2 linked regions of the Drosophila melanogaster genome follow. The protein of the gene in region 2 purifies or fractionates together with the protein of the main gene of each other region. This does not show direct contact. Each region holds a gene or a part of one and is shown on either strand. Other genes may lie near its edges. The genes, in order: Grip71 and Mzt1.

The links.
Region 1: the proteins of Mzt1 (region 2) and Grip71 purify together in Drosophila melanogaster (affinity purification with western blotting, with the first as the bait; one study listed by BioGRID). This does not show direct contact.

The regions. Positions count from the first base shown.
Region 1 is NT_033779.5:18,706,986-18,712,085, reverse strand, and holds Grip71 (Grip71), read right to left. Parts: upstream 3,241-5,100; 5' UTR 3,149-3,240; coding exon 2,959-3,148; intron 2,900-2,958; coding exon 2,605-2,899; intron 2,543-2,604; coding exon 1,701-2,542; intron 1,646-1,700; coding exon 1,032-1,645; 3' UTR 789-1,031; downstream 1-788. Other genes in the region: Irk3 (inwardly rectifying potassium channel 3), read left to right, coding at 1-82, 353-749; Faf2 (Fas-associated factor 2), read left to right, coding at 3,848-3,970, 4,225-5,100.
Region 2 is NT_037436.4:2,387,643-2,390,419, forward strand, and holds Mzt1 (mitotic spindle organizing protein 1), read left to right. Parts: upstream 1-1,622; 5' UTR 1,623-1,693; coding exon 1,694-1,942; 3' UTR 1,943-2,008; downstream 2,009-2,777. Other genes in the region: Svil (supervillin), read left to right, coding at 1,125-1,139; CG32299 (uncharacterized protein), read right to left, coding at 2,079-2,198, 2,259-2,543; CG32298 (uncharacterized protein), read right to left, coding at 2,632-2,777.

The sequences.
Region 1 (5,100 bases), on a different chromosome or scaffold from region 2:
GTTTGCTCTTCCGCGTCTGTGATCCCCGCGAGCAGCAGTCCATCGAGTCCAAGATACGAGTCTACATCATCGTGGACAAACGGTGAGTCACAGTCGCATTTTAGGGAAAATCATAGAACTTAAGAATCCGCGGTTAATTTGGGTATATTTTCCTATTTTGTCTTGATCTTCAACGTTTTTTTTTCAATATTTATAAATGCTATAGAAACAATTTAATCACACTTGACTCCTGAAATATTGACCCAGTCATAAGGAAAGTCATAAATGAACTGACCTTCCATTCAGATAGTACTTGCTGCTGGATAAAACAAGCAATTAATACGAACCCCCATCTTATCTATTTCTCTGACAGCACGCGCGAGGGTGAGACTATAAAAAGTCACGTGGAACTGAAGCTGGAGGGGAATGGGGAGCAGATTATTCTCTGGCCCGATGTGGTGTGCCATGTCATCGATGAGACCAGCCCGTTGTCTCAGTTCACCACAGCGAAACTCTTCAATGCTGCCCAATTTGAGTTGTATGTGTCCATTGTGGGCACTTCGCCTGCCACAGCGCAGATGACGGAGGCCAAGACGTCCTATCTGCCAAGGGAGATTTTCTGGGGCCAGCGGTTCGTCAATATCATCCATTACGACGCCCAAAACGAGCGCTACATTGTCGACTACGAGAACTTCAACAGGACCATATCGGTGGACATGCCCATGACGAATCCGAAAAATGATCACTTAAAGCTAGAGTACAGAAAGTGAAAAGGGTTTTAAAAAATACATTTTAAGAAGCTTTCTTATCGCATTACACTTTTGGCAGCACTATATTAATAACGAATTCAAAAACATTTTATAGACCGAGGTAAATATTCTAAAACATTTGTAAAATATCTAAATGGATCGATTAACGAATTAAAATTTACATAAAACTCATGAGACGCCAAAACCTATTTTGAAAAATGTTACTAATAGTTGATAATAACAATAAATTAAATACAATAATAACAATGTTTCAATTAATTATTAACATGTCTCCCCCTCGTTTTACTCTCCGCATGATTCAGTTTGCTCCTGCTCCTGGTAAAACTTCAATTTGGCCTTTAACATTTCGTTTTCATTTTGTAGGCGCGAGAACTCGCGCATGAAGCTATCTCCTTGAAGTAGTAAAGCCAGGGCGTCCCGGATCTCCCTTGTGTTTTCCACCTGCTGGTCCATGTAGTTGGTCATCTTATTAGCCAATAGCCGCTGATTAGAGAAGGTAACGTACTCCAATTCGCGCTCCACCTTCTCGCAGCGCTGGTCTACAAAATCTCTTAGCTCGCTGAATTCCTTGCGCCAATCTGCATCCATTTGGGCGGAAAGTCCGCTTGACGATTTGGCCAGCAACTGCTGAGGCTTCAAGAGAGGATTTGAGGATTGTGGTGTGATGTTAGCATGGTGCGGGGTACTGTTTCGACTGGCCGAAAGCAAGCGCAGACGGCGTTTCATTTCTGCGTCAACCGGCGGGGGATTCTCTTTGTCGCTGCCGCCTCCTGTGCTGCTGGCCACGGAAATGTTGGCAGACTGCTCCTCGCAGAGCTCGTCCGTCTCGGCAATCTTCATCAGCTTTCCGTCTCCGGAAATGTTGCTCCGATCCTTCAGTGGGCCGCTTAAGGTCTCTGCAAGTAATAAGCTTATTATAACTAAAAAATAATAATCTCTACAGTAACTTGCGTTGCAGTGACTCCGTGGTGGAGCTGTTGACGGAGTTATCCACCGAGCTTGGGCCAGACGCCACTGGAGGACAAAGACTTTGACGATTGGCAGTTTCATAAGGTTGCGGTTTTCGGTTGAGCGTCTCCCAGTCAAAACTATCTCTGTAAGAGGCGCCCAAGCGGGTCGACATGCGATCCACAGCTCTTGGACCTTGGGCATCCAGGAACTCGCAAAAGGAATCCCGGCGAACTATGGTAGGTGTTGACACCCCGTAACCAAGACTGGTCAGCTGGTTTTGGGTGCTCAACAAATTAGCGGCAATCGATTTACGCAACTCATCGCTGGGCGCACGCTCTACACGAGGAGCTTCGGTCGCCAAACCAGTTGCATTTTCGGAGCTGTTGAGGCTACCGTTCTGCTGGTTATCCCCACTTGGCACGGGCACAAAGGCTACACGTGTTACAGCCGCATCATGTACACTCCTCACGGCCAACGGAGCCTTTGTACTCCTCATATCATAGGCTATTAATTCGCCCTTAAGGTTTCCAGCACAAAGATAAGTGCCACATTCACTCAGCGCCACCGTCGATAGTGGATGCGAGTAGGTCAAGCGATCCGTAGAGGCCTGAGCACGATTTCGTCGAATGTCGAAGATATTTATCTTGCAATCGTAGCCCACGCTGACCAGCAGTGCCGGTTGGGATGTGCACATACTGATGTCCCGGCAGGGAGCACTGTGGGCTTCGCTGGCATGAAAAATCTTTCGCATTCCCTGCACATCATAGACAGTCACGGCTCCTTTATAGGAAGCGATCGACAGATGAAAGCGTTTGCTCGGATGAAAGCGCACAAGAGTAGAGCTGATATTAACAGGATAGCGAAAGATCAATGCAATCCTTTAACAAGCAAGCCTTTAACTTACTCGCCATCTATGGTGAAGGTGTTGGTCTTCTGTTTGGTCTTGGTACCCAAGATACTGATGTCCCCGCCATCGCGCACGGCGGCTATATACTCGTCCGTGTTGTTGTAGTCCATGTAGAGGACAGTACTCCTTTGCGGGTCCGCCGGAAAACGATGGATGAGCTGTGCCGTCCGAAAGTTGTATAGCTTAACACAACCGCTCTGACCCACAGCGATCTCTTCCAGGGATTGCTTGGCGCACGCCACACAGAAGGCATTGTCGATGGTGAGCTTACGGACTCGTTGAATCTCGGGCGCTGTGAAATGGGAAGTTAATTACATACGTGGGATTTGGGGATCCGCACCTCTCTCTTACTCTTGCCATCCTTCTCCTTTATTCGCATCACGGCCAAGCCCGCCATTTTATCCACCTCCACGAAGACCCGGCGTTGGCCGTTGAACTGAAAGTCCGTGGGCTCTGCGTTCTGGTGCACATACTCAGACTTTGTCTCCAGATCCGCGAAGTCGGAGAGCACGGTTTTTTTAGACGTGGAAATAACATGCATTTTGATTTATTTCTTCAGATATTTACACAATTCAAATTTGAGTGCTTTTGTTCGGACTGATTTAAGAATGTGCCCGCTGCTTTATTACCTGAAAATTCCAAAGCTCGTCCGTCGATTTTCCAAGTGATGTTAGACAAATATGCTGATTCCACTACACATTGTCCTTATCTAACACCTTTGAATTATATATCAATATTGCTTTTAATCTTTTTCTGTGTTTTACCACGCCAGGCATAGAGATCAAATAAATAATAAAAATAATTTTTTAAAAAGCGAACACAAATTGTTTGTTTGCCGCTGGATTTCGCAGTGAGAACGCGTCGGCCTGCGCGGTCACACTAGTCATTCACAACCAAATTCATCGGATCATTGGCAGAAAGGCAAGAAGAAGAGCAAGCAATCACCTGCGAAAAAGAAATAAATTGCCGAGAAATGTTAAAGACGTTGTAGTGCGGCAATTTGGCGTGCGTTGAAATGACTCCTGGCGACCAGTAGAAGCATTTAGTGACCACGCTACTCATCCCCCGTCCCCCGCCGCAGCGGCTGAGCCACTGGACAAAGGCCAGCTTACAACAAAAACAACACCAGGGAGACAGTCACGGGCCATTGGCACCCACACAAGCACACACACGCACGCACTGCGTAAAAGCAAACAACAACGATAACAACTGGGAACGGAGGCCTTCAACTGCAGGAAAGATGGAAGCTGATGGACTGACCAACGAACAGACGGAGAAGGTCCTCCAGTTCCAGGATCTCACCGGCATCGAGGATATGAACGTCTGCCGCGACGTCCTAATCAGACACCAATGGGATCTCGAGGTATGCATATGTTTATATGCCCACACAGTGAATGTCAAAATAACAGGGTCACGTAGTCTTGCAGTCTTGCATACAGTGGTGGCTGCAAGAATACTACTACCAACAAGTTTTGTACATATATATTATCTGACGACTAAAGATAGTAATCATTTTATTCTAAATTCTTTTTAAATTTGTTTTTTACAATTTTGCGTTGGGCGCCCTGCTATACTAAATACCAGCTTATTTACCCTTTTTCATATCTACATATGCAGGTGGCCTTCCAGGAGCAGCTAAATATCCGCGAGGGGCGTCCGACCATGTTCGCCGCCTCTACAGATGTCCGAGCGCCCGCTGTCCTTAACGATCGCTTCCTGCAGCAGGTGTTTTCCGCCAACATGCCTGGCGGAAGGACGGTTAGCCGGGTGCCCAGTGGCCCCGTTCCCCGCAGCTTCACCGGCATCATTGGATATGTGATTAACTTCGTGTTTCAGTACTTCTACTCCACGCTGACGAGCATCGTCAGTGCGTTTGTGAACCTGGGCGGAGGAAACGAAGCCCGCTTGGTGACAGATCCACTGGGGGATGTGATGAAGTTTATTAGGGAATACTACGAAAGGTATCCCGAGCACCCGGTCTTCTATCAGGGCACATATGCCCAGGCCCTTAACGATGCTAAGCAGGAGCTGCGTTTTCTAATCGTTTACCTGCACAAGGATCCCGCCAAGAACCCAGATGTGGAATCCTTCTGCCGCAACACACTGTCGGCGAGATCGGTCATTGACTACATTAACACACACACCCTGTTATGGGGATGCGACGTAGCCACGCCGGAGGGCTACCGGGTGATGCAGTCGATAACGGTGCGCAGCTACCCAACGATGGTGATGATCAGCCTTCGAGCAAATCGCATGATGATCGTCGGACGTTTCGAGGGGGATTGCACGCCCGAAGAGCTGCTCCGTCGCCTCCAGTCGGTGACGAACGCCAACGAGGTGTGGCTGAGTCAAGCGCGTGCAGATCGCTTAGAGCGGAATTTTACACAGACTTTAAGAAGACAGCAGGACGAGGCATACGAGCAGAGTTTGCTTGCGGACGAGGAGAAGGAGCGTCAGCGGCAAAGGGAGCGGGATGCCGTCCGGCAGGCGGAG
Region 2 (2,777 bases):
TCACCCATTAAAACCATTTAGCATTCATTAAGCCCAATTTCTGCCCCATCCATGGTGCTCGGAATAATCAACAAATTAACTAAATTCCTAGTGGGCGCCTCCATCCCCAGAATAATCCAAATTCCGAAGTTGTGACATCAAGAAATGTCGAAGCGATTTCAAGTGCAGCCCCGGGGAATCTTGGGAACATATTCGAACATTCCCAATCGTCCGCAACCTGTTTGATCCGTTGGTTATCAAAGATATTTCCAAACATGTTCGAAGCGAACCTCATGATGAGGTTGCATGGAATCCATAAGATACAATCCACAAGCTGCTTTGCAGCTACAGCCCAGCGGAATTTCAATTCAGTTCGCGCTCAACTCACAGACACGATGGTCATTCAAACGCGTTAACGAATAATAATTTAAAATAATATTCAAATGATAAATACACTAAAATATGCACTAAACCACGCACTAAACCTAAATCCACGAACTGTACATATTTGTGTAAATAAATAAAGTATAAACAAACAGCGAAGAGAAACCTCGAAATACCAATAGACCGCTCAAGTTCCCATACATTGAGCTGGCCAATCGTGTTTGAAATTATTTGTTTGATCGATTTTGTGCGGTGTGAACACCTTGTAAAGGCATTTGCAAACCTATTGCCATAGCAAGCAAAGTGTGTTAAGCTGGGAAACACCCTCTGAAAAGTTTATGTACTACCCCCTTCGATCGGTCGAATAATAACTACCACAAGACAAGCATTAAGTTTGTGTTTACGTGCTGCTGACTAATTGCGTTTATATAGCCCGACTATATAAAACTGTACAATAAGACACGGCCAACTGTTTTAGTTTGAACGCCTCAGTTAAAGCTGCAAATTGCTTCGCTACCAAGTGAAGTTCTACATTTTCGCAGCGAAAACGTTTTTCAATTGATTTTCATTAAGTGAAAAAATCCCGAGATTGTCTTCTTTTCGGTTTCCAATTGATCGCAATTGCACCAGACCCATAAAACATATATACAAAGTGAGGCTGCATTCCAAGTAGAGCAAGACAGTAACCACTTCATCATCACAACATCAGATGCTGCATAATTAGCATTCGTTGCGTGGAGCGTCGAAAAAAAAAGCGGAAAATGTATCTCATACAGGTGAGGCCAAGCGATACAATGGATCCCCCTCTCACGATTAAGTGTTTGCTCTTACTTATCACATGCTGGCGGCACTGCACTTGCCGACTGAAAAAGATCTTCATTTAAGCGTTTTTTAATTGTCCGCCAGCTGAGATTTTCAGCATTTACAATTCTCCCCTCCGTTTGAAATGACTGTGAGAGGCACGCATCTCTGGCGTATATAATTTGTTTAATTTGTAGCTAATTTATCTTTCCACTTGGCAGCGGGCAGATCGGATGTCGAGCAAATGGGGGGGGGTTCACTGGAGCAGGTGCCTCATTACTGAACTTTGAACTTGAAACGGTGTTACGATTTACAGCTGGTAATGGATTACGGTTAGGCATCGGGGTTCGGGTTAGCAGAACAAATGTGCAGGCCTGAGATTATGAAGGGAACTCAAATATTTTGACATAACCATTAATCATTTGTAAATGATATACATTCAATCGATTGCTTTTGAGTTATCTGTCAGCATTGCCCTAAATTATTTAGAGATTTATTCCGAGTTTATATCAAAATTTGTGGAATAAGTATGTCAGAACAACCGACACAACATAAATCCGACGATCGCTTCACTATCCTGCAAACCTTATCGGATGTAGTGGACTCTGGTCTCAGCAAGGAAGCCCTTAAAATCTGCATCGAACTGGTGGACAATGGTGTCTGTGGTGGAGCACTAGCACATGTAATTCGAACCATTAGAGAGGAGATTCAAGATGATGAAGATAAGGAAAGTGATGATTCCGGAGAATCGGCTGCATCAACAGACTCAACTTTGTAGGAAATGAATATAAAATATATTTTTGTGTTTATATTTTGTGTTTGTTAAATTAAAAGTTCAACTTTCCGATGGTCTGTTTCCGAAATTTGTAAGACGCTGGTTCTTGGACATCCAATTGCATGATTTTTGAAGGCTTTCAAGAAGACTTCGCCACTCTATTTGCATTCATCAAACGCAAGCGACTGGCGTTTCTGAAAACGGTATATGTGCCGGCCATGATAATGAAAAGTTGCACCACTTTGGCTTGATAGTAGGTCTAAGATGATAATGTGTTTAGATAAAAGCTTATAGCAAACCGAAGCAACAAACGACTCACCTGTCTTATATAGATGGGCAATGGAATGTGCGATCGATGAACATGGTAATCCATTCCTCTGAACAGCCAATAGCCCGGCCACGCCCCCAAACTGGCGAAAAGAAATGGTGCTGCAGTACTGTAGGCCTTTTCAAAGGATTGCGAATGCACCAGTAAACGTATCTCCTCGCCAAGATTATGCATCCGAGGTGGGTGGGCTATTGCCTTGGCTGGTTCCTCCTCCTTTCGCTTAAGCCTCGTCGAGAACTTCTCCTTCAGATTGCCGTAATAATTTTGGATGCCCATCTTGGAAAGGTTTAATTTTCGACCGAAAGTTGTGTATTGTGTGTGTGTGTAAAGTTTGGACAGAAACATATATCAAGGCTTACCTGAACTAAGAGGAGTCTCCGATGTCAGCTGTTTCTTCCTGATTATTGTGCACTGTATGCATTTCTATTGGTATGCCGGCAGGTCGACCCATTGATATCGTGAACAGACCAGTGGCTAAGATAGCCAACTGCATTAGCTTGGCCTGTTGAT